Linked DNA regions of Lonchura striata. The protein of the gene in region 2 purifies or fractionates together with the protein of the main gene of each other region. This does not show direct contact. Links are inferred from orthologs where the notes say so. Each region holds a gene or a part of one and is shown on either strand. Other genes may lie near its edges. The genes, in order: MTF2, EED and PHF19.

What was found.
Region 1: the proteins of EED (region 2) and MTF2 purify together in Homo sapiens (affinity purification with mass spectrometry; 3 studies listed by BioGRID and IntAct, with this or other methods). This does not show direct contact. The link is inferred for Lonchura striata from reciprocal best matches to the Homo sapiens genes EED and MTF2.
Region 3: the proteins of EED (region 2) and PHF19 purify together in Homo sapiens (affinity purification with mass spectrometry; 8 studies listed by BioGRID and IntAct, counting the BioPlex papers as one, with this or other methods). This does not show direct contact. The link is inferred for Lonchura striata from reciprocal best matches to the Homo sapiens genes EED and PHF19.

What each region holds. Positions count from the first base shown.
Region 1 is NC_134611.1:20,715,714-20,725,282, forward strand, and holds the start of MTF2 (metal-response element-binding transcription factor 2), read left to right. Parts: upstream 1-4,696; 5' UTR 4,697-4,858; coding exon 4,859-4,863; intron 4,864-5,203; exon of another isoform or gene 5,204-5,254; intron 5,255-9,569. UniProt on the Homo sapiens protein: Polycomb group (PcG) protein that specifically binds histone H3 trimethylated at 'Lys-36' (H3K36me3) and recruits the PRC2 complex, thus enhancing PRC2 H3K27me3 methylation activity.
Region 2 is NC_134604.1:34,843,931-34,853,499, reverse strand, and holds the start of EED (polycomb protein EED), read left to right. Parts: upstream 1-4,901; 5' UTR 4,902-4,921; coding exon 4,922-5,038; intron 5,039-7,827; coding exon 7,828-7,980; intron 7,981-9,569. UniProt on the Homo sapiens protein: Polycomb group (PcG) protein. Component of the PRC2/EED-EZH2 complex, which methylates 'Lys-9' and 'Lys-27' of histone H3, leading to transcriptional repression of the affected target gene.
Region 3 is NC_134624.1:9,391,781-9,401,349, reverse strand, and holds the start of PHF19 (PHD finger protein 19), read left to right. Parts: upstream 1-3,541; coding exon 3,542-3,718; intron 3,719-3,986; coding exon 3,987-4,068; intron 4,069-4,170; coding exon 4,171-4,266; intron 4,267-4,344; coding exon 4,345-4,445; intron 4,446-4,557; coding exon 4,558-4,706; intron 4,707-4,972; coding exon 4,973-5,068; intron 5,069-5,247; coding exon 5,248-5,316; intron 5,317-5,767; coding exon 5,768-5,888; intron 5,889-6,302; coding exon 6,303-6,370; intron 6,371-6,459; coding exon 6,460-6,630; intron 6,631-6,708; coding exon 6,709-6,793; intron 6,794-7,020; coding exon 7,021-7,106; intron 7,107-7,203; coding exon 7,204-7,299; intron 7,300-7,580; coding exon 7,581-7,929; 3' UTR 7,930-9,569.

The DNA.
Region 1 (9,569 bases), on a different chromosome or scaffold from region 2:
GCAGAGCTAATAGGCAGAGTTGGTTGTTTTGTTTTTTTCTTAAAGTGTCTGTGGTGCTTTGAGAAACAGTAACAGAGAGAGCTTTAAAGAATAACTATAACATTGCTAAATGTTATTTTTTTGAAGGCAAACAACCCTCTAATGATTTTGAAGTCTAGATGTAGCTTAGTTCAAAGGCTAATATAGATTGCGATACAAAGAGATCATATACTAACCCGCACAGTAATTGCTGTTTAATATATGTATTGCAGAAGGGCTTTAGAGACTTAATAATAAAAAAATAGGACTGCAATACTCATAATACTCTATCTTAAAAAGTTAGCAGAGTTTTAAATATTAAAAATAAAAAAATAATTGCTTAGGATTAGTGGGGCAAGTATGTTGTTTTTCTATACATTGAATTTAACAGAAAACTTACTGGCTAAATTGTGTCAATAATGACAGTGAACACATTTAAGAGGGTATTTATAGTTTAAGATTTATCGGGCAAGATCATGACATTCACAAGAAGATGATGGAGTACAAGGCAGTTTTTTTCAGTATTTCCTGATCCTTGAGAAGGTAAAAAAGGAAGAAATGGCAAAGTGCTTGTACCAGGAAAAACATGGGTTTATGTGAAGACCAATGTAAAGGTATCTTACCAACAGTGATATTAATTTATTTCCCTCTCTATTGATGTTATATGAGAATGAAAAATTATTAATATTCTTGTTTATCTAGAAAAATATTAAATATGTTTATTTTTAAATGCTTTCAGTGCTGTTTTTATATCTGTAGCATAGAGAATAATTACGACAATTGTTAGCTAGCTGAAACATGATTAATACAAAATTCTTCATCTCTTACCAGTTGCCTATTTTTTACATTTTAAAATTGAAGATTATTTTCTGAGTTGAGCTCTTATAAATGCAGCATATGTGCATTGTCTTACTAATTAGTATGCTTATGTAAAAGTGGATGTACCATATTTATCTTGATTTAAGATAGGAAGATCCCAGATGAGCTTCCTTGCTGTTTTTGTGCTTAAACAATGCAGAGAAAATGCCCTGGGATCTAATTTTCCCTCCTTGCTGAATTGTGGTCATGACAACCATCTGTACAAGGATAAGCTTCACAGTATTGTCTTGTTCAAGGGTATCATTTTGATGTTATGTTGTGTGATACAATAAGGTAATGTATATAATACTGTGCAGCAGTTGGTGCTCTCATCTACATACACTGCTGACTTTCACTTTTGGTTTTTATGTGTTTTGGTTGGCTTGTTTAGTATTTATGTGGATATTGAGGCAACAAAAGTATAAAAACCAACTAACTTGCAAAAAATACATTAATGTTTGAGAGAAGGGCTAAGGGAAATACCATTGTTCTGACTCTTCAAATGTATCCACCTCTGCTGGGTACTGGGGAATTTACATGCTGAATATGAAATTTAGCTTTTCTCTGCTGTGCCAGCAAGGCAAGATACAATTTTTAAAATCCAACACTTTGCTTTTGCATGTCTTTATGGCAAGATATTGCCTAACAGTATATGGACAAATATAAACAGGTAAAGACAGTGCTAGGTTGTTATTATTTAGCTTCTTTCTAACACACAGCTATTTATAAGATGATGTGGAATAAAGCTGAATATACCTATTATTAAGCAGAATACAACAGATAATAAAAGTCTTTTTTTCTCCAAAACTTCTACACAAGAAAGCCCTTACTGACATTGCAGGTAAAGTAACTTAATTTGGCTTTGGTCACTCTGTGCATCAAAGTACAGACATAGTATATCTGGAATTGAAAACACACAAGGCAAGATTGCTTAAGCTGTATTTCAAAATACTTTTGAGATATTAGCAGAAGACAAAAAAGGAAGTTAAGAAAGTTCCTTCTAAAGGCATGACATACACTCTTGCCAAGTATGAACAGAAGAAATAACTGGATATTTTACTTACTACTTGCACTGAATACAAAACAGAGAAAGATTCTAACATGTTCCAAATCAGATTAATCATGCATGTCTCATAGTATAGTAACAGGAATGCTAGAAAAAGTTGTTTACACAATCTAAATTGCTAAACCCAGCAAATTTTGCTATTGTTGTTTATTTTTTTGCCCCACATGTCAGTCATTAACAAAGATCCTCCTTCTGCAAATATAGGTTTGCCAGTTTGAGCATTTTAAATTGAAACACCATTTGTAAAAGAGATTTTGCACATTTCCAGTAAGGTTTCCAACCTTGTAATACTCTGGTCAGGCTGTGCAGACGAATAATCAAATTTCTTGTCCTGGAATACAAGTTACTGAAGTGAAGTCACCTGTGTCTATGTACCCCTCAACCATTTGATTTACCTGATCTAGCAGATGGACTGGATGTGTAGGAGTCACACAACTTCTGCTCTGGAAAAGGGCTTGCCTGTCACATGGAAATTCAGTGACTTGCTGAAGTGATCACAAAGGATGTTATACTGTGAGTTACTAAATTAGGTCACTGGGGGATGAGGTGTCTATGTGGGAGTTATGGAGCTTGGAATCTTTCTAGCTACCAGTAGTAGGCGAGTTTAGAGGAAACAGAGTTTAGATTTTTTTTTTCCCTTAGTGATTGGCTATGAGCTCATATTGCTTTTCTTGGATATTATAGGAGAATTACATGGAACTAAGGCTGTGGTAAAATACTCATAGTCTGCTCTTTTTAGTAATAAGGCTAAAAGTAACAAGCTTTGGGGGTACATTATGGCCTAACTAATGCAATCCGTGTAATAGCAAACAAATAAATTTATCAAACCCTAATTATTCTTATAGAATGTAGGGATTCCTAGTTTGTTTTTGTGCTGCTCTCACATACTGCTATTCCAGCAGCAAACCCCAGCTTTGTGACAAGTGATGCTTTATGGGCAGGATGGAACCATGCAGCTCTGCAATTCAGTAATAAGTTCTGCAAACTCCTGCTGGGAACAGTATGTTAAGGGCAAGGAGTGTAGAGATGGCATGTCTTCCTTGTCACAAGATTTCATGTTGAGCTTTTCGGGGTTTTGGAGCTGGTGGTGAAACAATTTACATTATAGGTGACTGATTCTACTTCAAAAAATTATGATTAAATTAATTTTAAAGATACAGTAGGACAGCAGGCTAGAAATACCTTCCAAGTATGACACTGAAAAAGGAAACTGTGATGTAGCCAATTACTGCTGTTTAATCTGTTGCTGACTAGAAAGTTTGTTTTTTAACTTAGCTTAATACTGGTTCTCACACAACCATTGTGATTTAAAAACAATAATTTGTATATGGATATACATCAGATTGAGACTATTTCTTTTTCTCCAGCTGGCAACCCTTTGCCTTCAGCACCAGCAGTACCTGACTGCTGTTCACTGTACATGAAAATCTGTAAAGAGCAAATGGGGCCCTTTGTGTTGTCCAAGTCTGTTTTTAGCAGACCATCACAATTCCTGAACAGTATCTAGCTAGTGCATCCAAGGGAGAACTATCCCGTCAAATTTGTATTTAAAACAACTCTGAAAAAAGGATTTTGATTATAAATACTACTTTATTCTGACATAACTAGGAACTGGCCAGACTAAGCTGTACTCCAGTGGTCTGCCCAGGCTTCCCTCCCTGTGCCCTTTTCCAGGGATGACAAACTGCTCCAGTACCTTAGTTTCAGTTGCTTATCCCAAGAGGGAAGATGGCTTTGAGAACTTAGGCTGTTTGAGCAGGAGAGAGACTGGAATCCTAAATTCTCCATCCATTCTTCTGAGTTCAGCCATTCCTGAGTGACACCAGTGGGTGAAATCTGATCCAGGGCCGCTGGCACTCTGGTGTTGCACTGGGCAGAGCTGCACACAGCAAAGGCTGCTACAGGGCTAGGCCAAGCTTTGCAGTGTTTATAAACGTGGCATTGGGCCAATTGCTGTGCTTAACGATGCGGACTATAGACACTAGCCCAGTACTGGAGTCTGAACAACCACAAAACACAATGATGGAAAACAAAAAGGTATTTCCAGAACCAGATAACTGCTGGTGTTGGAAGGGACTTGTGGAGATCATCTAGTTAAATCTCCCTGCCAAGGCAGGGTCACCTAGAGCAGGCAACACAGAAACGTGTCCAGGTGGGTTTTGAATGAACCCAAAGGGAGACTCCATGAGTCCCTGTTCAGCCCGTTCCATTAGCTCAGCTAATACAGCTGCTGCTAACACCTGGAACTGAGGTTCAGCTCATCTCCTAAAATGGCAGCATCCCGATGTCGGCGCAGAGGAGCACACTGTGCATTCTGCAGCCTCCGGTACCGGGGCCGGGCCTGGCCAACCGCCGCGGCAAGAAGGCGGACCCGGGGTCATTCCAGACGGCAGGGCCGCCGCTCCAGGGCGGGATCTTTCCCCGGAGCCCGGCCGGGCGCTCCGCGGGGCCCGGGCCGCGCCGCATCGCCTCAGGTGCGGCGGGAACAATGAGCGCCCGGCCGCAGCGAGCCCGGCGGCGCGCACCGCTCCGCGCGGGCGCGCGCCTCAAATAGTCCCCCTTTGTTCACGGCGGCCGCGGCTCGGCTGCGCCCGTGTCCCTCCGCCGCGGCGCCCCGCGCCCGCCCCCGGCGCTGCCGGCGCAGGCGGGGCCGCCGGGGCGGGGCCGCGGCCCTTTGTGCTCCCAGAATGCACCAGCGCCTCCTCCGCGGGAAACAAAAATGGCGAGGGGCTGCGCTGGGGCCGGGCTGCCCGTGAGGCGGGTCTGACCGTCTCTCGCCGCCTTCCGCCTCGGGTCCGTGCCCGGGGGGCCCGCTGCGCGCGGACCGCCCGGCCGCACCGCGCCGCGCCGCCGGGGGAGGCTCCCGAGCTCGCCGATTTCCCTGTATGAGGCTGTTGGCACCACTGGGGAGACCGAATGAGGTGAGGGATGGGGGGGCGGCCGGGCCCGCGCGGTGGGGGGGGCGCGATCCCCGCAGGCCGGGCCGGCGGTGCCGCATCCCGGCCCCGCCGCATCCCGGCCCCGCGGCGGGGAGCGCGGCCAGGGGCCCGCTCCGGCGGGGAGCCCGAGGCCTGGGAGGGAGGGAGGGGGAGGGAGCTCCCGGGCGGCCGCCGGCAGGCGAATGTGAGGGGTCAGTGGTGCTCCTCGGTGACCAAAACAAAGGGAGGGAGGCAGCGGGCCGGTCGGCGGGGCCGGGGGCTGCAGCGGTGAGGTGCCATCAGCCTCGCGCCAGCTGTATTTTCGTCTTCTCCTTCAAGGATATTGTCCGAGTAGGCTGCGTTTGCTCGAGTGCGAAGAGAGCAGCACAAAGAGGTAGTGGTTTTCGTTGGTAACTTTGTGTTTGGGGCTTTTTTGTTTGTTTGGGATTTTCTTCTGTGGCTTTTTCTTTCTTCTTTTTTTTTTTTTTTTCTTTTGTTTATTTGAAGTGCCTCGCCTCTTAATTTCAGTGAGGTTTGACGATTTGGATGTGCACAGCAGGTTTTTAGTCCACTTAAATGTAGTAACTGTTGCTGGCTGAAAGGGTATGCAGTAATGCGTTTTCCTTTTTTTTGGTATTGAATTCTTTGGAAAGAATGGGCTGATACCTCTTGTAGTGAAAGAGAACAATATGGTTCTGTGCTGGATGCTCTGAACACTGATATTAGTGTTGAAATACCAAGGGTTGTCGTTCATCCATAGAGGATCAGGGTGCTATTAGAAGTAAAGGGCCTGCATAATTAAATGGAAGATTCTGCCAGGAAAGCAGTGTAGCATTATGGTTGTTTCTGGAATTTGTGATAGGCCTAGCTTATCATAACTTTGAAAGGTCAAACGCAGTAATGGATAATAACATGGCTTTCTCCTGACTTAATGTAAGGGAATGTGATCAATGATATACACTCAAACTGCCAAAAGTATGGGATAATAACAAAAAAGTTTCCCTCTTGTTTTTTTCCTTTTGATCTGTAATCGGGTGGGTAAAAGTTAACCTGGTAATGTTTGTCCTTTTTTTTTGGAGAGCTCAAATTACATTTAATTTGAAAGCATTTGAGATTAAAAGAAGAGGTGAAAATGTTTCATTTCTGTATTATTAGAACACAGGTTAATGAGTTCAGAGCTTTTCATTTAAAGGAGAATAAGGGAAAACAAAGATTGAACGTATGAAAGGAAATGCATAATACAGTGAAAATGAGAAGGGTCTTTGCAAGGAGCTACAAGCTGTGAAAAGTAGATCTGTGCTGAGAGTATAATGTAGTAATGTTTTCCACAGTTAACCCTTATTTTGTCAAATACACATGTGTGGCTTCTCAACAACTTGCCTTTTCTGTTCTGGAAAGAATTTAAAATCAGATCTAGACGCTTCTCATATGACTTAATATAGCTAATCAGCAGGGTATATCTATTTTTTTAATAGGTGAAAGAGACATGTATTGGTAGTTAGTATGAAGTTATGTTTGTCCTTCCCTGTACCAGGAGGTCAGGTAAAATTTATGAGAAGAGCAGCTGTAACAAATAAGTTCCAGTTAATTTCCTAGTGGACAGTGGACTTCAGTATTCCCTGGAGATGGATGTGAATTAATGTAGAGGCACTGAAGCATATTTTGTTCTCTTCATGTGAGTTGTAGAGAAGGAAGCTTGGAGATGTGACTAGAAGCCAGTATGAATCTTTGATTAGTTTGTGAATTGAACACATTTGTTGTGTGAGCGGCCACTGGCCTTGCTGCAGAGTTGGTTTCACCTTCTTCACAGGCCTTCCTTGCTGGAAATGGAGGGGAAGTGTGTCTTTGAGCAAAACACAACAGGAGAAGAATTATAAAACCACAGGTATGGCTGGAGAGATAATCTCCATGGAAGAGTGAAATCAAGGTGCTTAACATTCTTTGAGAGAAGGAGTGCTACTGATGAGAGCGTTCCTGATGACTCTGGACATACTTCATTAGCTAAATATCTTCACTTCTGTTTTAGATCTATTTATTTTTTTAATTCTTTGGAATGCTTATGGAGGTAGCTGTTCTTGCAGACTGACCTTAAAGAAGATAACTTATTATTTTGGTCAGCTCTGAAATCCTTTTTCTTTCCCACTTCTCCCAGAGCAAGGTAGCATATTGTCTGTTATTTCTTTCGTTGCTGGGGTGGGTGCTCACACTCCCTTAGGTCTGTTGTTGGAGGTACTGGATTTGGATACTGTAGAAACCCAAAAGGCAGTTGCTGTATTCACAGAGGTGCTGGGGATACAATTAAGTGGAATTTTGGTCGGAAAAGGTGTCTTGTGACCTTGTGACCCGGTACCATTGTTTTCTCCCTGTACCTTCATGTGCAAACACATGATCAACCCCAGACAAATGGCTCTTGCTGTACACAACTGCCCTGCCTTTCTTCCCTACCTACTAAATATGTTGTTTGGTAATGATCTTTTAAACTCTAACCCTTTCAGTGTTTATATCAAAGAAATTTAAAACACTTCTAGTTAGTTAAGATTTCTTGAGGGAGAATGTGAGCAAAAATAAAATCAGAAATGACTGTAGTATTATGAGCATGGGAGTACACTTACCCTGGTGACCATCTCTTTTTAACAGTATGCATCAACGTTATTAAGGACAGTAATTTCACAGGGTCAGAGAGCAAAACCACAGTATTCTATCTAGATGCTGTCTAACAAGTTTTGTGTCACAGTCAGTCACTTCCCCTGAGTCCTCTGGCTAAACTTCTTTCTGATATACAGCAGATTCATAGATAGACATAACTGCTAATCAGATTAATAGGCTGCGGGGCCTCACTTAGTTTTTATTACCAGTTTTTTATTTCTTAGAAGAAAAAGTTATTATTTTTGTCACTTAATGTGATGTATATACTTTTGAATGCATGGCTCTATTTTAATAACTCACAAATAAAAATATATTCCCTGATAACTAGAGAGTTCCCTAAAGAATCTAACCAGACAGAAGAATTCAGAGAAAGAAAATCATAGCCAAAATATAAGGCCCTTTGAAAGAATTAAAACCCTCACCAGAGCCCACCATCCTATTGGGATAGTAATGTGTTATGTGAAATCACATTTGATCATCGTGGGTACTGTAGGGTTGACTGGCTAAAGCTGAGAATAAGCAAATTACAATTTCTCATCTTACTGACAAGGAGCAGCTTATACAGAATGGTTACCCTGACATCATTGGTAGGACAAAGCTGTTCTGCCTTAAATGATATTTTAACCTCTATTCATGGTGGATTTATTAAGCTTTGCTGGAGTGGCCTATGAATTGGTTTGCTGCACATTTGAATGAACATGTGAACTTGACTCATGTAGGCCTGTGGGACCAGGCTGCTTTTAAGAGCACCAAGGAAACTATGTGATGTTCTTGTAGGGCTCTTCCTCATTATTACAGGTTGTGAAGAGCAGGGCTAATCCATAATGATTACAGAATTGTACATATTACAGCCATCTTTGGAAAGGGCTTAAGTGTTCAACCCAGAGAACCATGGGCTGGTTAGCTTCACTTGGTCTTTAGGGAAGGCACGAAGTCTTCCTGGAGGATGTTTCTGGATGCATGGAAAGGTGACTGGTAACAGTTGCCAAAAATATAAATCATGGCCTGAACAGCCTGACCATGTTCTGTGTTAAAAATGGCAGGGTTTTTGAACATGGGGAGAACCTCACCCAGCCTCAGTTTCAGCAAGGCTGAAGGGTGAGCTTGAACATGAACTTCATGAAATTCAACAGATAAGAAAGCAAAGTCCTGCATCTGAAGAGGGAACCCCAGGCTATGATTGGCTGGAGGTCAGCTTTGCAAGATTGTCTGGGGGTCTGACAGAAAGCAGAATATCAGCTAACACTGTGTCCTGTGAGCTAAGGCAAGTGGTCTCCTTAATAATAGAAGTAGAAGACTGAGGGGAAATGATTATTTCCTTCTACACAAAAGTCATTGGACAGCATCTCAGTAGAATGCTGTGTTTTGGTGCTACCACTGCAAGAGACATAAACTAGAAGAGTTTGGTGTAGGGCCACCAGGACAGTCAGGAAGTGCAGCACTTGCCCTGTGAGAGGGGCCTTAGGGAGCCAGGTTCATTCAGCTTCAGGGTGACATAACTTCAGCCTTCCAGCTCCTATGAGAAAATTAGTTTGATGCAATTAGTCTCTTCACAGCAATACATGGCAGGAGGATAAGAGGTGCCTACACAGAAATAAGAGATTCTGATGGGAGAGGGAACATCCCCCTCCCCAGGGTGGCAGCTCACCAGTGAAACGGGGCGCACAGGGTTTGGCCTCATGTATTTCTTATTCCCCAGTCATTTCTCTCTGCTTTTCTAGACTGAGAAGTGCTTAGATTAGAGTCCCCTTGCCCTTCTTTGGTACAGTTGGCTTTTGATTGTGCCAGCATGCAGAATAGTGTAAAGACAAGGAGCTTCAAGTGTATTTTGTAGATGTTGTATGATATGGCACATTGGAAAAGCAATATCTATTTCAGTCTATGAAGTAGAGGATAGACTATGATCTGGATTTGTACTTGATCCTTTGCTTAATAAAAGTTAATGGCAATGTACTAATATAATAGCCTGTCTACATGTAATTGAAAAGTGACTGTTGCAGTAATGTTAGTATTATGAAAAGCAAAGTTTTTTTTTTTTTTTTTGGTTTTTTTTTTTTTTAATT
Region 2 (9,569 bases):
AGCTACGTAAATCACTCCTTGGCAGAGGATAGAAGGGCAGGTGGAAGCAGGGGAAATTAGGTGGATGGAGTGGGATGGGACTGGTTGAGCCACGCTGTTGCTGATCATGAAGGCACAGACTAAGATGATACTTTACTGACATAAAACTGCATGTTGCCCCTCTGCCATCATGGCAGCAGAGCTGTTAGAGCAGCATAGAGAATCCTACACCTTAGGTCAAACCTTTTCAACACTGAAGATAAACCATAAACTGAAGTGGCACACAGGCAGATTTCAGGACATTGCTGAGCTGCAGCTCACCACTACCATTGGGATGAGATCTTGTTTCTCTGCCATCTTTCACTCCTGGCTGCAGCTTCCTTTCTGGTGGTCATCAGAGAATTTGCATTTGTCTGGTTTTGCCCATTAGCTAAAGACAAAGGATCAAGTTACTTCATGCTTGATCAATTTTCTTCTGGGTTAGTGAGCTGAACTTGCTCATTGAGAGTGTTTTGAAAAGCAAAGCCCATGGAAGAGCAGTGGTGGAAAACCAGAATTAGGAACATGAAGAAGGTTTGGAAAGGGGGTGGGTGAGATATCCTTCCTTCAGTACCACTGAGCTGTCAGATCAACTCAGCTGTCTTGTCTTCTGATTCAGATCCATCTTCCATTTTAATGCAGGTTTTTAGCTCTAGCAGATGGATAACGTATGTAAGCTTTATCCATATCATCTTGAACTCCTGCAGCAAGATTTAAATGTGTGAGCTGTTCCTTGCTTTCAGAGTATGAGTCAGCCAAAGGTTTGACCCATTAATCTTTCAAAAGTGAGAGGGGGGAAAAGACTGCAGCCTTTTCTGGCTGTTGCAGTCCCATTACACAAAAGGGATGCTATGGTTTTTCATGCAGATGCTTTTCCAATTGGTTTCTAATGTTGCTGTTTTCATGAGGCAAAAACTACGTTAGCAGTCAGACTTAAAAACTGAACTGGTATTCTGAAAATCCAGCCATGTTTTCAGACTCTTAATAAAAACACCAGTAAAACAGCCTCTGTAATTGGGGATGGACTGACAGGGCTATTGGCAATACATGGAGCAGAACAGAATCCACTTTAGTTGCCATGGCTATGTTTTCCTGACAAACCCACAATTTTAAAAATTACTTTTATCCAGTTAATTCAGTAGTTTTCATCTGTAGACACAGAAAAACCAATTAGTAACAATACTAAGAAACACTTTTTATAGAACAGATCCTGGTATCAGGTAATTTAGCTGTGGGGCTATCTCTGCACAGAGGTAAAATACTATGCTACCTAAGGCAGCATAGTACTGGGGCAGCACAAAGGCCAGGCCCCCTTTGTTAATGAAGGAGCTCTAAAGAGCCAGACTTAGATGCTTCACTGAGTAACAGGAGAGGCTGGAAGAAAACAGGTATTGCCTGGGCAAAATACCACTCCATGCTCCCTGTGTCAGTGGGAACAAGAAGCTTGTTATCAAGGACTCTACTCTTTGATGTCTGCCCACTAGCTCATTATTTCGTATATCCTCCATTCCCAGCACAGCACAGCCCCTTCATCTTTAAGTTGGCAAAATTAAGGGCTACCCACACAGTTAGAAACCCTGAGCTAATTCTATGACTCTTTCTTACATATCGTCTACTGCCTACTCTTGGAGACAAAAGTTCTCAGCCACCAGGAACAGCTGATTGTCAAAATCACCACTAGAAGAAGGCAGAAGGTATGTGGACTACCTGAAGCATATCAAGGAAGAAAGACACCAGGGGAGATGTCTTGCTAGACCTGCCACAAACAAAAGTGAGCTGGTCAAAGATGAGGCTGCAGCAAATACAAGATTGTAGAGCCGAAAATCTTGAGAGACATTAGCAGTGCAAATATTAGAATCACAACCCTGGACTTCAGGAAAGTAGATTTTGGCCTACTTGGGAATCTTTTTGGCAGGATCCAATTGCTATGGGGCTCAGGGCAGGTGGTTGATCTTCAAGGAGAAGCTCCTCTAAGAAATTAAAGAGCAGTCCATTCCAATATGCAGAAAACCAAGCAAGTGAGGCAGGAGACCAGTGGGGATATATTAGGAATTCCCAGCTGAACTCCAACACGACAAGGAAGTGTATGAAAAGTGGAAGCACAGATGGACTGCCCAAGAAGAATACAGAGACATTGCTTCAGTGTGTAGGGCTGGTGTTAGGAAAGCCAAAGCTCATCTGGGAGATGAAACCAGAGAGGCAAAAGTTGTCAGGAAAGGCCCCTATAGGTACAGTAGCAGCAAAAGGAAGGCTGAGGAACATATGGATCTGCTGCTCCATGGAGCAGGGGCAGACACAGTCACAAAGGACATGGAAAATGCAAAGGACACAAATTGAAGCATGTGAATTTCTGATTAATTACAACTTTAAAAAATGATTACCATGAGGGTAATTAAACACTGAACACAGAAGACCACAGTGGTTGCAAAATATCTTGTGTTGAAGGAATTCATAACTGGACTCAGTTAGGCCTTGAGGAACTGGCTTTAACCAGCAGGGGTTAGAGATGATGAGCTTTGGAGGTTCCTTCTAACCTCCAGGATCCCATGATTCTGTGAAGAAGCTTATCTGGTAGAGAATGAATGAAAAGTGTGAGACTGATTTACTTTCAACCCATATATATATAAAAGTATTTCAATGTCCCTGAATGATCCAGAAATATTGTGGTATGTATTAAAAAAACAACAATCCAAAATCAGACTATCTATTAAGACCCCATGTCTTCGATGCATTGCAGAGTTTTTTTTGACATTTGTTATTGCAATCCTGTGAGAACCCATATTTGGCAGAGTCTTTCAATTTATATTAAATCCAGCCTTCCAAGTACCCACCATCTGTTTTTAAGTACCATTAAATCACTACTTAAAACTGACTGCAAATTAAAAAAAAAATATATATTGTTCTCCTGTTTTCCTCTACATATTATATCAAGGGCCCTATTACTTCTTAGTTAATATGTGTATGGTATTTATGTATTATATGGTATTATACTAATTAAACAAATAATGAACTATAATATATTTTTTCCTAGTACCCTTCTGGGATACAAGAAGTGCTTCTCCCATAGCACTGTTGAGAAACTGAGGCAGAGAAAAGCATGGAGGCTATCCAAAAACAATCTCAGCAGAGCACAAATTGAAACAAATTCCCTGAACTTTCAAGCTTGTGTTTAACCACACAACTAATTCTTTAAATAGAAGCTAGATGAAATGTACTATGACATTTGGAAACTGGGTTCTCCTGGTACACCAGTCTTTCATGTCTTTCGAGAAAGTGCAAGAAAAGCAAGTGGTTTAGACTAAAAAGTGTCTACAGAGGGAAGCAGAGCTATCACCTCGAGGAGGAAGTTCCCCAGCACCTAGAAGATAGGAGAAGGCACAGACCTGCCAGGACAAAGCTGTTTATATAAGGGAGATGAACTGATTGATTCTGGGAGTGGGTGGGGAACCACACTGCATAATGGCCATGAAGCACAGGCTAGCTGAGGCTTCCACTTTCCTCATGAGCTGGTGAAATGTGGTGGACTTGAACGTGCAGCTCAGCTGGCACGTCTGGAGATGTCAGCTAACAGCTGCAGGACAAAGGGGAGCACTCTTCTCCCCAGTAGTTCAAGGGCTACAGGGAGAAGTTAAAAATTCTCTCTGCTGAAAACTTTGTGCCTCCCCTTCTTTCAAAAAATTTGCAGCACAGTCGTGATTTAGTCTTAATTACAAGACACCAGTCTAAAAGAATCCTGTTGTACTCTAGAAACAAGCCTGTATATTTTCCCACAAACACTTCTAACAAAACCTCAATCTTACAGCACAGACCTACACAGGGTTTTTACCTGTAAACTTACCACCTTTTGCTATATGTTGTGCAATGCCTCATTGGAGCCTACAGTCCTGCAGAACTGTTTATTGCTAAAAACACTATAGTACACACAGCATTTGAAGTATATCTCTTCCTCTTTATCTCTGAAGTTCCTGCGAGATTAAATTTTATATACAAGGCACGGCTCACTTCTGTCACTGCCCTCAAAGCTTTTTTTGAGACTGGAATGTTTCCCTCAGGGAGAAAAGACTTGTTTCTGCCTCTACAAGTATAGCAGATAAGATGATGTGCCTGTGGGCAGATTACTTTCCCCCTTTGTTAGAAGTTGTGTGGATTTTGTTTTTTCTTCATAATTATTATGCTCTGGGACCTGTGGTTTGCGAATAAATAAATTAACAAACAAAAACCTGCAAGTGCAGTTATTTAATTTATAGCTGCAGAAGGAGCTTGCCGGGGAGTACAGAAGTAGGAAGCAGAGAAGAGCCTTTCTCTCTTATCCGGAAACACTATTCGCAGGCTGAACGACTTTTGTGGGTTAAGAGAACACCAAAACAAAACAAACCAGAAAAAACCAACAAAACAACAACAACAACAAAACCACACCAAACCAAAAAGCCCGACCCAAGAGACCCTTTGGGCACAAGGGAAGTTGGTGAGAGAGGCAGAGCGGTGGGTATCACCCGCGGCGCACGGGGCTGTTTGTTTCTCCGCCACACGCGTGCTCGGGCTACAGGCAGCGCCGGCCAAGCGCCACCACGCCGCGACCACGCGGGCTCATTCGGCTCAGCCCCCAAGACGAGCGGGGTCCCTGCGGCCCGCTGAGCCCCGCAGGCGGCGGCGGGCGCTTTCCCAGCGGCGGCAAAGGCGCTTTCCCGGCGGCGGGAAAGGCGCTTTCCCGGCGGCGGGCGGTTTCCCGGCGGCGGGAAAGGCGCTTTCCCGGCGGCGGGGCGCTTTCCCGGCGGCGGGAAAGGCGCCGCTCCGCCGGCCCGGGGGCTCCAGCCCGGGCAGCGCGGCCGCTTTACGGCACAGCCGTTCGAACCTCCGCGTCCGCGCTTTGCGGCTGCGTGGCGGTGGGTGGGGGGCGGGGAAGATGTCTGAGCGGGGAGAAGCCCCGGCGGCGGCACCGGCGGGAGAGATGCCGGCGAAGAAGCAGAAGCTGAGCAGCGACGAGAACAGTAACCCCGGGGACATGTCCGGCGACGAGAACGTGAGGCCGGGCGAGCGGCAGGCGGCGCGGGCGCGGCGGCGCGGCGGGAGCGCGCGCGGCGGCGCGGGGCCTCGCGGCGGGGGCGGGCGGGAGCGCGCAGGAGGAGGAGGGGCCGCCCCGGGCCGCCGTGAGGGGACATCGCCCTCCGGGACCCCCCGGGTGGCTCCCGGGCCGGGGAGGGCGTGAGGGAGGAGAGGGAGAAGGGGTCTCGGCCCAGCCGTCCCGGCTCGGTGGCCGCCGGAGGGAGGCCCCGGTGGGAGAGACCGGGCAGGGTCTGGGGGAGAGGCGCCCGCTGTGCTTCCACGTGGGTGAAAGTGGATTTGCGGCCCAAGCTGTGAGCGGGCGCTGTCTCGAACTCTGCTTCCAAACGTCACACTCTTTTTTAAAATTTTCCCTGCAAACCAGCAGCATTTTCCATCTTTCTTGTAGTTTTGTATCGTGTGTCTTCACTGTCACGTTGTAGAGTAACATGCAGCACGAGTTTATGTGTGCAGCCTTTTGGTGAATGAAAAGTAGGAGATGGTGCTCAAACTACTGTCAGCAGAAGGCAGCGGGGATGGCGTCTATAATCTCTAAGTTAGGTGAAATTCTAGTGTTCAGAGCAAAGGTAATGTGATTGATGTAGAATAACTTTATACCTGAAAGGTAAACTTAATCTAAGGTATCGACCAGTCACTTTATGTAGTTACTGGTGTGGAGAGGGGTTGTGTAGTTACTCTGTGTGTTTTATAATGTGTAGAAGTTTCTTTTCTGCACTTATCCAGCTAGTGAGGGAACTGGACTACATCCTCCACAACGTTTGGAAGTGGTGCTTGTGAGGTGACAGGCAAGTTTGAGATGTTCCACACCGCTGCTCTTGTTTTTTTTTTTTTTTCATAGCTTAGCAGCATTTGTGGATCCAAATGTAATTTGGTGACATATGTTCAGGCTTAATTTGTTGTCAGTTGTAGGCTATCATGGAGTGTGGAATAGGTTGCCCCATCTCTGGAGGTGTTTAAGGCCAGGCTGGATGTGGCTCTGCACAGCTTGGTCTAGTGAAAGGTGTCCCTGCCTGTGGCAGTGGGCTGGACTAGATGATCTTTAAGGTCCCTTCCAATAGAAATCACTCTGATTATATGATTCTCTGATTCTCTTATGTGGGTTGCCTCAGTGGTGAAGGGATTCTTTTTCCAAGAGTTTGTTACTGGACTCCACAACTCCTGCAAGATGGGGGATTCGGTTTAAAAGTTGACATAGTTGTGTTGATTTGGAGAAAGGGTGTGTTTTGCTCCACAGGTGTCCCGCATGCAGGTTTGTTGGTTATGTGGTAGTTGCAGATACATGGTATAGCTGCACCACACCAGCTGCCTGGTGTTCTCACGTTGGCGGTATCTGTCTAGTCCAGAGAAAACTTCAGTCTTGTCAAGTATTAAAATTCTGACATGTGCACTTGGGAGATGAGAGTTGGACAAGCTCTGATTTTTTTTTTAGGGTAAAGGAGAAGAAACAGGAAAACTTAAAAAATGTTAAATTTGGTTATGAATATTAGTGGAGGGTTGGCTCTTTTAGGGGTCCAATGTGAAGGGAATTACTCCAGATTTGGGCAGTACACTTACGGGCTTTTGTGGTATCTTTCCTCCTTTTGTCCTCTGAATGTCCTGTTTTTCAGAGTTGTTGGACAAACAAAGGCTAGTACACCTCTTCAGGCTCCTGATAATACAGACATGAAACTGGGACAGAGAATGAATGCTTGGTGGGAATTGGTGTATTAATGTTTATAGTTGACCTCATTCCATATTCCTAGTGGAGTTCCTAGCGCAGCTTTGTGAATCTCCTACAGTGACAGGCTGTTCTCTGCCTCTGTCTCCCTTAGTTCAGCTCTAGAAATTACTTAGTCTAGCATGAGATGTTTTCCCCCCACTAGTCTGATGGAAAGTGAACTATCTTGCCAGAAAAAATGGGAAAAGTTGATTTTTAACAAGCTGAACGTACTCATTTGGAAACACAGGGTTGGCAGGTACAATGCAGATGAAGGTACTGTGCTCTGTGACGGGTGATACAGGGAAATGTCCTTTTAAACAGTGCCCTGCAGTCAGACCACACAGGAAATTGTAGTTTCTGCTGATTATCCAAAGCCAATTTAAAATCTCTCAGCAGCTAGATGGGGTGTTTTGTGTATTTGTGTTTTTTCAGTTTTCACCATTCTTATCTTACACTAATGGTTGGAGGGCAAATTGGATTAGTTAGCTGATCAGAATTTAGCTTTTAGTGGAAACAAGTGAGTATCTGTGGTACAGGGGGGAGAGGAGGAACTTTGTCTTCTGATGTTGATGCTGCCCCGCTGCAGAACCGTGCTGTGAGTGGTGCTGCTGAGAGTGCACAGAAGCCTCAGAATGGCTCGGTTCTTGGTAAGGTCAAGCCTCATGTTTTTTAAAAAACAACTATTCTTCAGTTCTTCAGAAGTACTCATTTCATCTGGATCAAAGATGTTTTCTAGGGGAAGCAGCTGCTTTATCTCTAGACATTTTCTTAAGAGCAGCTACCAGTATTCTGAAGAAACGTCACTAGATCACAGTTCATAGCTCTCCCTCTTGGATTAGTCCTCATGTGATTCATGTTCTGTTTCTAGAGAGGAATGCTATTATGCTGGCATTAGATTTAAATACATGAATCTAAATAACACCAAGGCCTGAGAGATCTGTTTGTATGAATGACAAGAAGTGAAAAGGCCAAGTGCTGCAAGATTAGTTGAATTTATGCAGCAATTATGATCTCTTTGTGACAGTCTATATAATTTTGGATGTTTTCAGGATGATGCTGTTAGTATTGAAAGTGGTACTAACACTGAACGCCCTGATACGCCAACAAACACTCCTAATGCACCAGGAAGAAAAAGCTGGGGGAAAGGAAAATGGAAGTCGAAGAAGTGCAAATATTCCTTCAAATGTGTAAATAGTCTAAAGGTAGGTATGCATGAGCTTCAGGGAATGCTTGGGCATCACTTACTGGCAGCAGTGTTAATGTTGGCTGTGAGACAGCGTCAAGCTAGAGACTTTTAAATATCTTTAAGCACTTATGTTCCATGCTGATTTGAAGCAGGTACCTTTCTTTCTTGGAATAGCGAAAGTTTTGAAGAAAAAAGATACTGAGAAATAGGAAACAGTAGATAGTGCTGAAGTTAACCTTGTTTTTGTACAGTTTGCAAAGTTTTGTGTGATGCTGTGATTATATATTTCATTGAAGCTGTAGATGATAAATATAAGAAGTTGGATAAACAAGTTGAACTAGAACAAAACCTGTGACAACTCCATGCAAAACACAGAACCTGCTCAGATGTCTCTGTGCTGATAAAAAACCCAAACAAATCAACCCAACAATCTTAAGAGTAGCTTTTTCCTCACACTTAACCAGATTAGGTATTTTCTGTGCTCTGGCAGTATCATAGCTACTTGTGCAGTGCAATTTGGTTAATTTATTGTGAGTGTTGGGATCATGTGTTAGCACCTGATTCAGGCAGTGTGTATCTTCCTGTGTAACACCTGATGGTTTTAAGATATGTGGATTGATGGTCTTTATTGCTTGTTCTGCTCTTTTAGCATAGTGCTGTTTTCTTCCGCACTGGTGACAGACTATGGTGGACTGAATGAGTTTTCTCATTCGTGACTATTTTACTCTGTCAGGATGTTCTTATTTTCCTGATTCCTCAGCCTCATGTGGGATATTTATGTGGCAAGATGGGAGTTATGGCAAACTCTGTGAGGATCTGTGTAGCTCAGCAGTGGATATTTTCTGCAGAATTGCTCTAAGAGTATTTTTTCATTCCCCTATGCTTAATTGGGGAGCTGTGGTGATGTGGCTCCTTTTCTGAGCTTTGTCTTCAGGCTGCCGTAGTGAAACACTGGGGTACTTGAGCGGGAGGGGATGAAAGGTTTGGAGCGTGGAAACCTTCTAAATGAGTTTTGCCACTGGAGAAACTGTGATACGAAGTTACACTGACAAAAGTATCTGGGAAACAAATTGATCTTATTGTGTTCTTGAAGTATAAAAATTGCCTCCAGACTTTTGAGGGTGTAGGAGGAAGGGAAGTTATTTCATTTCACCAAGGTAGGCAGCAGTTCCTGTGATTCGCGTGAATCGCCCCCACGGATGGTGCCATTTGTGGCTTCAAGTCATACTTCAAACACAGACATGGGCCTTTGGACACCCAAACTTTTTACAAGTTCTGAGCTTTGTTACTCGTACTTGTTTTCTGTCTGCAGACAAAGATGGTTAGTACTTCCCAAGTGTCTTCTGGGGAAACAAAACATTCCCTCACCCCAGTGTCAATCCAGACCCCACTGTAGGGTGATCCAAAAGACCAAGCTGTGAAACTAAGCAATCCCCGACTTCCTTGGATTTGGATCAGGATCTGGGAACAGATTCCTGTGCAAGTGGAATCAAGCTATGAGGGAGTAAATGTAGCATTTCAACTAAGTGGGGTATTTTTATTAGCTTTTCTCCCCATTTCTCTTTGGTCTGAAATCAATGGTAGTAATAAGAGATGTGCATGTTA
Region 3 (9,569 bases), on a different chromosome or scaffold from region 2:
AAAAACACTGTGAAAAGAGGCTGCGACGATCGCTGGGCAGTTTTCAAAGCAGAGGCAGCGCTGGGAGCTGCTCTCCCCGCACACTCCGCAGGCTCTGCTCCAGCCCGGGCCGTGATTCCCGGCTGCTCCATCCTTTTCCAAGAGGGAAAGCACCTCCCCCTCGGCAAGTGCAGGGTGTGGGGAGCAAGTAAAAGTTTTTAAGGAAAAAATGGGAGTTTGGAATAGTTACCTACACGGGGTTTTATTCAAATCCTTCTGCAAAAACTGGGGGTTTTTTGGGAATTCCATAGCGGGGAGGGAGCTGGGAGTCCTGCCCTGGAGCCTGTGCTGGCCCCGCTCCTTGGCCGAGGAGGGTGTGGATTGCTGCCCTCAGCTTTGCACCACTTTTGGGGCTCTCGTTCATTTCTGTTCCCTTGCTTACAGAATAATCTGCTTTTACCGGCCGGGTACTCCTGCCCTGCTCCAGCACAGACATCGGGGCAGCCTTGGGTGCCAAACCAGTGCCCAGCTCCTCCAGGTGCTGTCACAGCCCCAGCACCTGCCAGGGACCGCGATCCCACAGTGCCAAAGAAATGGGATAGCCAAGGGATAGCTAGGCGGGTGTGCAGAGGAGGAAGAGGAGGACGAAGAGAAGGAAAAAGAGGAGAAAGAAAGATGAGGAGGAGGAAGAGAGAGGCAGCACCCAGTAGCTCACTGCAGTGAGATCTGAGGCCACGCTTGCTGGGTGCTGGGACAGAAGCACCTGCAAAGAAACCAGAGTTAAATCTGGTTTATGTTGCTATAATTATGTTGCTTCATTCCGGTTAGAAAATACGGGATACATCTCAAATGCTGGTTTGTTTGTTTGTTTGCGTGGTTTTTTTTTCATTTTTGTTGCACACTCTTGTCCCGACGCGATGTTCCCGTGCTCTCTCTCCGCGTGGAAGGCTTTCAGTCAGGCTCTCCCTGCGTACACCCCCGGTGAACTCGATCCAGCCTTTGATTTCCGCGTCACACCATCCGCATTCCTGCGGCACGCTGCAAGCAGCAGCCGCGGGGGCCGGGAGGAGGGTGCTGCTCCCCCGGTGCCCCCGGGACAGGCTGCGACAGGAACGCTGTCCCGGGAGTGCAGCAATCTCTGGGATTCGGGGCAAACGCAGCAGCCCCGAGGCACGGAGCGAGGAGCGGGGCTCCTCCGAGGGTTGTGGGCAGAGTTATTTTAGTCCTGAGGTGACTCACACTTATCCCGGTGTGACTCACGGGGAGCTGGGGCCCGGGGCTGGTTAGGGGCACGGCACGGCACGGCACGGCACGCTTGGCACACACGGCTTTCCTCACGCAGCCCCGCACAGGGAGCAGCAGCAGAGCGGCCGTGCCGGACCCGCGGCTCAGGAAATCGCTTTTCCCGTCCCTCCGCAGGTGCAGCATCACAGGGAGCGCTCTGACACCCGCGTTTTGTGGGAATTTGGTGAAATAAATGGTTCCCGGGTGCCGGGTGCTGGAAGGGAGGCTCAGCCCGTGCCGTGCCGCTCGCCGCTGGCTCCCGGGAGCTGCTCGCTCGCAGCTCCGGTTTGTGACACGTCTGAGCCCCAGCTCCCGGTGCCGCATCCATCACGGACAGCAAAAGCCGCAGGGACTCTGCTCGCGCTTGGCCCAGACCCGGCACTGGGAATCAGCTCTCCTATGGCCCGAGCAGCCTGGAAAACATTGCTTTTCCAGGATCGCTTTCCAACAAACAGCAAATCCTACAGATTTCTTCTTGGCACCGACCGAAGCATTTTTGCAGCGATTGATTTTCTCTCTGAGATTCAGAGAAAGGCTGCAAGGCTGCTCCCGCTTCCAGGAATCCCGGCGAGCACAGGTCGTTCCCTCTGGGGACAATGCTCCGCGGGCACTGCCCGCATCCCTTCCCCTGCCCGCCCCCCGCCCCGGGGCACCGGGGGAAGCTCTGTCCCGGCTGCAGCCGCGGCTCGGAGGGGACAGGCGGGGAGGTCCCGCGTGTGGCAGAGGGTGACGGTGCCTCTCCACGGGCAGTGGGTGCGTGGCCGACCCTGGGTGCCCCTCCTGGACCCAGGGATGCCGCCTGCGCTCTCCGGAGCACCGGGCCGGCCCGAGCAGGGATGCGCCGAGCCGGGATGTGCCCCGCTCGGTTCCTATCGATGCCAATCCATGCCGGTCGGTCGGTGCCGGTCCGTGTCACGCCAGTGGGTCGGTGCCAGCCCGCTCCGGTTCGATCCGTGCCGTGCCGCTCGGTCGCTCGGTGCCGCTGGGTGCCGTGCGGTGCCGGTGGGTGCCGCGGGGATGCGCTGCGCCGCGGTGGGACCGGAGCCGTGGGAGGCGGCGGGGGCGGCCCCGCTAATTGCATAACCGGGACGTCAATGCCGGCGGGAGCGCGGGGGAAGCGCGGGAAGATGGCGCCCCGCGCCCGGCCCCCGCCGCGCCCCGCGGCTCCCGGGCCCCGCGCCCCGCGCGCCCGCTGAGCGCGCCGGGGCTCCGCGGTAAGGGCGGCGCCGCCCCGGCGGGCACCGGGCGGGACGGGCGGGACGGGCGGGCGGACGGCGCCGCGGCCGCCTTTGAATGAGCCAATGGCGGCGGGGCCGCGGCGCCGCTCGGGGCTGCCCGCCGCCACCCCCGGCAGGTGCCACCGGGGCTCGGGCAGCGGCCGGGCGCTCCCGCTCGTGTCCGCGGGGCCGGGGGGGGAGAGCGGCGGGAGCCCCGGGGGCGCGGAGCCGCGGGACACCCGGGAAGGGAGCGGCGGGGGAGCGGGGGGAAGCGCGGGGGGCTCCGGGGAGCGGAGCCGCCGCCGCGCTCGGGCGCGCTCCCACGCGGGAGCCGGCGAGTGCCGCTGCCGGGACGTGTTGCGGATCGGGAGCGCCGGGCTGTGCCGGGAGCGGGATGGCTCTGCCCGTCCCGGGGCTCTCGGGGAGCGGGAGAGTCCTCGTGGATGGCAGAGCCGGGCAGAGGGGGCTCGTGTCGCCGGACACGCGTGGTGCCACGAGGCCACGTGTGTGGCCGTGACGGGAGCGCCAAGGGGAGAAAAATCCCTTTCAAGTCGTTTCCGTGGTGTCCTTCGGGATCGCAGCTCTGCTGTGGGTGATTTCTTTGCCTGCTGCCCCCCAAACCTCGTGGCGGTGACATTTGGCCGCCTGGGTTCGCTCGCGGTGGGTGGTGCTGGCACATCCCTGCTCCTGCAGCAGTCCCGGTGGTTTGGGAGCCCGCAAAACTGCGGGAAATGGTGGTTTTAAAATCACAGTACATTTAAAGCTTTTATTCCTTATGTGCCCCTTCCCAAAACTGAACCATGCGGACCTGTGGCGTGTCCCAGCGCTGTGGGAGCCTGCCAGGGGTTAATTCCCTCTTGTTCGCCAGTAGCAAAGATTTGGCTGCTCCCTGGATTTCGTGGAAAGGAACCGTCTCATCGGCTCTGTTTTGCAGTGTCCTGGGCCCCTGCTGGTGGGGCAGCCTCATTCCTCCCAGGCAAAACGCTCAGGGATGCTGCGGCGGGCTGATGTGGTGCCGTGCCGAGCGGTGACAGCGTGTGTGTCCCCTGCAGGCTCTGCTGATGGAGACCACGGAGCTGAAGCCGCTGGGCCGGGACGTGTACGGCCGTGTCCCGCCGGCAGCGGGCTCGGCGCGGCGCGGCAGCGGCTGCCGGGAGCTGATGGTCCGGCTCACCGAGGGGCAGTACGTGCTGTGCCGCTGGACAGACGGGCTCTACTACCTCGGCAAGATCAAGAGGGTAACGCGGGCACCCCCGGGGGAACGGGAGAACCCGAAGAGGTGCCAGCGCCAGCGGAGCCGGTGCCGTTTCCCGGCCCAGTTCGTGGCCTGGGCTGCGGTGCGTCCTCGGTCAGCAGGGCGTTTTGGGTTGGCATCCTGCCCCGGGTGTCACGCCCCAAACCTGGCTGCCCGCAGCCCCGAGAGACAGCATCAGGCACCAAGGAAAAGAGGGAAGTGCTGGGAATGGGAGCTGACCCACAGCGGTTCTTCCTGCTCTCTTCTGGCAGGTGAGCGGCTCCAAGCAGAGCTGCCTCGTCACGTTTGAGGATAACTCCAAGTACTGGGTCCTCTGGAAGGACATCCAGCATGGTGAGTGTCGCCCCAGCCTCCCTTTCCCGCTGCCATGCTGCGGGACCCTTCCCAGCAGCACGGGGATGTGGCCGTGCCACCTCTGTCACCCTGGTCCCACAGCCGGCGTCCCGGGGGAGGAGCCCAAGTGCAGCATCTGCCTGGGGAAGAAGTCGGGCCCCAGGAACGAAATCCTCATCTGCGGGAAGTGCGGGCTGGGTGAGTGTGGGTGTGCCACCCCGGGCCCTGCCGTGCCCGCCCCAGGCGAGGCTGGGCTGATGCCGAGCCCTGCCGCAGGTTACCACCAGCAGTGCCACATCCCGGTGGCGAGCGGCGGCGAGGGCCCGCTGGGGACGCCGTGGTTCTGCCGCCGCTGCATTTTTGCCCTGGCCGTGCGGGTGAGTGGGGCTGCCCCGTGCTCCCGGCTCCGTGCGCCGCCCGTCCCCGGCACGGCGGGGCAGGACGGGCTCCCCGGGGGCTGTGCTGAGCCCGGCCCTGGCTCTCCCACAGAAAGGGGGTGCCCTGAAGAAAGGAGCCATTGCCAGGACGCTGCAAGCCGTGAAGATGGTGCTGTCCTACAACCCCGAGCTGCTGGAGTGGGACTCCCCGCACCGCACCAACCAGCAGCAGTGCTACTGCTACTGCGGCGGCCCCGGAGAGTAAGGCTGGCCTGTGTCACCATTGGCTTCGTGGGGAAAGGAAGGTGGGATCAGGGTGGGCATGTTTGATCCCTGATGTGCAGGGCACTGCCCTGAGGCCAGTGGTTCTGCTCCCCACGCTGCCTCTGCTATCTGGGTCTCTGTTTGCACAGAAACACCAGTGAGGGACGCAGTTCTCTCCCTGCCTGGGGCTCTGTGTCTGGGAGGGGACGGGGGCAGTGGCTGCCACATGCTGCCCTCACTGTCACCGTTCTGTCCCTGCCCAGGTGGTACCTGAAGATGCTGCAGTGCTACCGCTGCCGGCAGTGGTTCCACGAAGCCTGCACCCAGTGCCTCAGTGACCCCATGATGTTCGGAGACCGGTACGGCCCTTCTGGCCCTGGCTGTGTGTCCCTGATCCATCTGACACCAGCACGGGTCAGGCCCTGCCCCACAGAGCCCACTCCTCCTGGCCTTGCTGTCACCGTTGGCACTGTCCCACCTGGGCCCTGCACAGCTGTGTGTGATCCTCGCTCCCAGCATTTTCCCTGATGTTTTCCAGGTTCTACGTGTTTTTCTGCTCTGTGTGCAACCAGGGGCCGGAATACATCAAGCGCCTGCCCCTGCGATGGTGAGAAACGGGCCCTGCCTCCTTTGGGATGTGCCCGGGTGGCTCTGGGATGTGACACCAGGCTGGCTGCTCCCTGCAAGTGCTCAGGACCAGGCTGGACAGGGCTTGGAGCAACCTAGTTTAGTGGGAGGTGTCCCTGCCCATGGCAGGGGACAGGACTGGACGATTTTGAAGCCCCCTTCCAACACAAAGCATTCTAGGATTGTGTGTTTGGGTTTTCCCCCAGCTGCAGGCAGTGTGCCACCTCTCCCCAAAGCTGAAGGGATGCTGTCCTGGCTGTGGCATCTGCTCAGAAACATCTCTGGGCTGGGTTGCCTTCCCTGTGAAGAGTGGGAAGGTTCCAGTGGTGGGTTTGGGAGGCCCTGGGAGCTGTAGTGGCGCTGGCAGAACAGGGCATGGTGGTTACACCATCCTGCCAGGGCTGCTGACCCTGTGCCCCCCTTTGCTGCAGGGTGGACATCGTCCATCTTGCCCTCTACAACCTGGGTGTGCAGAGCAAGAAGAAATACTTTGACTTTGAGGAGATCTTGGCCTTCGTGAACCACCACTGGGACCTGCTGCAGCTCGGGAAGGTACAAACACCCCCTGGGCTTGTGCTGGAGAGCAGCCATGGGAGTGAGAAATGTCACCCCAGCTCGTGCAGCACTCAGCACGGCACCTCCTGCTCCAGAGGAGCTTAATCCCCTTCCTCTGCGCTGGGATTTCCCTCGTTGGAGTGTCAGACCTGACACCTCTCCCAGCTGGGAGAAGCACTCGCACCGAGGCGTGCTGGAAACCCATCCCCGGGGAGGACGGGGCGGCCCCGGGGGCAGCCCCACCACACCCGGGTGGCTCTGGCCGAGCTTTGGCTCCCTCCTTGCCTGCCTCCCTCCCTCCCCGGCCGCGGGCAGGAGGCGAAAGCCGGAGTTCGGCTTCCCCCGTCTGTTTGGAGTTGGCATAAGCGCAGCGGGCGCTGAGCCCTGCCTGCCCCCCGTCCTGTCCCGCAGCTCACGGGCACCCCGATCTCCGAGCGCGGCCCCCACCTCCTCAACGCCCTCAACAGCTACAAGAGCAGGTGAGGCGGGGTGGGCACGGCCGCAGCCGGCCCTGCGGGATGCTCCGTGCCCGCCTGCCTGAGGGCTGCCCCCTCCCCTCGCCGCCCAGGTTTCTGTGCGGCAAGGAGATCAAAAAGAAGAAATGCATCTTCCGCCTGCGCATCCGCGTCCCCCCGAACCCCCCCAGCAAGGTGCTGCCGGAGAAAGCCCCCGGCGAGGGCGACAGCGGCTCCTGTGAGCTGAAGAAGAAGGGGAAGAGCAAATACGCCCATAAGGACGGGTGAGTGCCCCGCTGCCCCGCACAGCCCCGCAGCAGCAGCAGCGCCCTGCCCGCGCCCACCGCACGCCCTGTTTGCAGCCTCCTGCCGCGGCAGCTGCAGCAGCAGAAGCGGCGAGCGCGGCGCAAGAGGGCCAAGTTCCTGCTGGAGGATGCCATTCCCAGCGTGAGTCCCTCGCCCCCCTTCTCTCTGGCACTGCCCAGCCCTGGGGCTGCCGCAGGGTGGGGACAGCTCCTGTCCCCCGCTTTGGGAAGTGTCCCTTGCCCAGGCCACTCCCCGGGGCAGCGGGGCCTGGGAAGGAGCGCGGTGGCCCCGGGCAGAGGGTGCCAGGGTTGGGGTGTGGGCAGCACCCCCGCGCCAGGCAGTGAGGAGTGAGCTCGTTTTTGTGACAGAGTGACTTCACCTCGGCCTGGAGCACCAACCACCACCTGGCCAGCATCTTCGACTTCACGCTGGATGAGATCCAGAGCCTGAAAAGGTCCGTGCAGCCAGACCAGCGCTCTGGGGGCCAGGGGTGCTGCTTGTGCCAGGCTGGGGGCCATGCTGCATCCCAGCTGTCCCATCCCTATCCACAGTGCCAGCTCAGGACAGACTTTCCTGTCGGATGTGGACTCCACAGATGCCACCAGCACCTCGGGCTCGGCCACCACGAGCCTCTCCTACGAGTCCAGGTGAGGACTGTGCCCCTTGCCCCCTTCTGGAGGGGTCCTGGTGGCATGGCCAGGGGGCTGAGGGCTTGTGTCTCCCCTCTTCATGTCCCACCCTGGGGAGCTTTTCCTGCCTGTGCTCCAGAATGGGCTGGGGGTCCCAGAGTGACACTTGCTGGGGGCATAGGGTCAAAGCCATCAGTCCTTGCTGGGCTCCCCCAAATTCCTGCCTCCCTCCAGAAGCCAGCACGGGGAGGAACCTTTTGGGTGCTGCCCTCACTCGTGCCCTGTGCCCTCCCCGGCAGCCGCAGGACCGTGGGCAGCCGCAAGCGCAAGCTGGCGGTGCCAGCCTACGCCTCGGGGGCCAAGCGGAGAGGGGGCGAGCTGGGCGGGCGCCCGGCCGCGGCCACCCCCGAGGGCAGCGAGGCGGCGGCCGGCCCCGAGCGCCCCGACGACGGCATCGACAGCCACACCTTCGAGAGCATCAGCGAGGACGACTCCTCGCTCTCCCACCTCAAGTCGTCCATCAGCAGCTACTTCGGGGCCGCGGGCCGGCTGGTGTGCGGGGAGAAGTACCAGGTGCTGGCGCGGCGGGTGACGCTGGAGGGGAAGGTGCAGTACCTGGTGGAGTGGGAAGGCACGACCCCCTACTGAACCCCGCCAGCCCCGAACCCTCTCCCGGAGCCAGAGCGGAGGAGATCGGGCTGCTGGGGAAGCCCGTGGGGCGCAGGAGAGGTGCTGGTCCCTCCCCCCGGTGGAGGCAGCGCCCGGGCAGGGCTGCCCAGGAACGAAACCTGAAGCCCTGGCACTCTGGTTTTTTTTTTTAATGTTAACGATTTTTAGTTCCTTGGCTGCCTTTATGCAGAGCGTGGCCCAGCCGTGCCCTCCTGATGGAGCCCAGTGGTGCTCAGAGCAGGGTGGGGGCCTGGCCTTTCTAGAAGGGTTCCCCTGGCACAGCTGGAGCAGCTGCTTGGGGGGCACCCCACACCCAGCTCACACTGAGGGACCCCAGCCTGTGCCTGGCACAGCCCGGCTCATCCCGCTGCCCCAGCCTGCCTGAGCAGCCTCGAGGGGGTCCTGCTGCCAAAACACAAACCCCTCCTGATCCCTGGGCTCTCGCAGCTCGTCCCTGTGCCCACGGGAAACTGGGACAGCTCTTGGGGTTTTTCACCTCATCCAGAATCCATTCATTAAAGGAATGTGGTTTGTTTTATATGAGAGGAAAATGCCCCAAAATCAGCCCACAGGTGGCTGTTGCAGCCATGGGGCAGATGTGCTCTCACCCCACAACCTGGACTGTGTGTGGTGCTGCACCAGCTCCATTTCACCGTTCTGACAATCATGATCTTGGAAGAGATCTTCCAAAAAATCCTCCTTTGCCTTAAAACCACCGTGGGCACTTCACAGACGGGAGCCCAAGGCCTTTGTTTCTACAGGAATCTTCATCCCAAATGTGCCAAACCAGCAGACAAACCAAAAAAAGGCTGAAGAGGACAGCAGGGGCAGGGGCTGTGCTGGGGTGCCTGTGGCCATCCCTGTGGCCACCCCTGGGCTGTCCCTGTGGCCACCCCTGGGCTGTCCCTGTGGCCATCCCTGTGGCCTCCTGGCTGTGCCTCTTGCAGTGGTGACGTTTGTGAGCACTGGGCTTGATTTGTCTGCAGGAGAGAAGGAGCAGCCCCCTCCTTTAACAAAGCAATACTGCCAGCTTGGGCAGGAGCACAGCAGTTGGCTTTTTAAAAAAGATTCTAATAGCAGATAAATACGTTAGATTTTTATCCTTTAGAGAGACAGAGATATTTTTAAAGTCCTCTTCATCTATCCCCCATCCTCCCATGGGTGGGCCATGCTGGGCTGTGGGGTCCTGTCCATCAGCAGAGCCTGTCCTGTGCTTGTGGGATCTCAGCTCATGCAGAGCAGAGTGTCCCTGTCCTTTTGGGAGAGGTGCTGCCAGGCCCCCCTTCCCTGGCAGGGAGGGGTCCAGCAGCTGGAGAACTGCCTGTCCTGCTTTAGCTTTGTCCTTGAAGGATCACTTCAAATATTTCTCTTTCTCAGTGCCTATGGAGCCCTTCCAAGGGGCTGCCAAGAGCTGTGCCAGGGCTGAGCAGGGTTATGCCTGTGGGGTGTACCTGTGGGAGCACCCACAGGATCTGGCTCTGGCTCCTCTCTGCTCCCTCTCTGTTCCCTCTCCTCCTCTCCTGGCTTCTTGCAGAGAATTGAATGTGGAGCCTTTAAAAGTATTTTTGCTGCAGAGTATATTTTGCATTCGCTGTGATAGAGATTATAACAACTCTGTG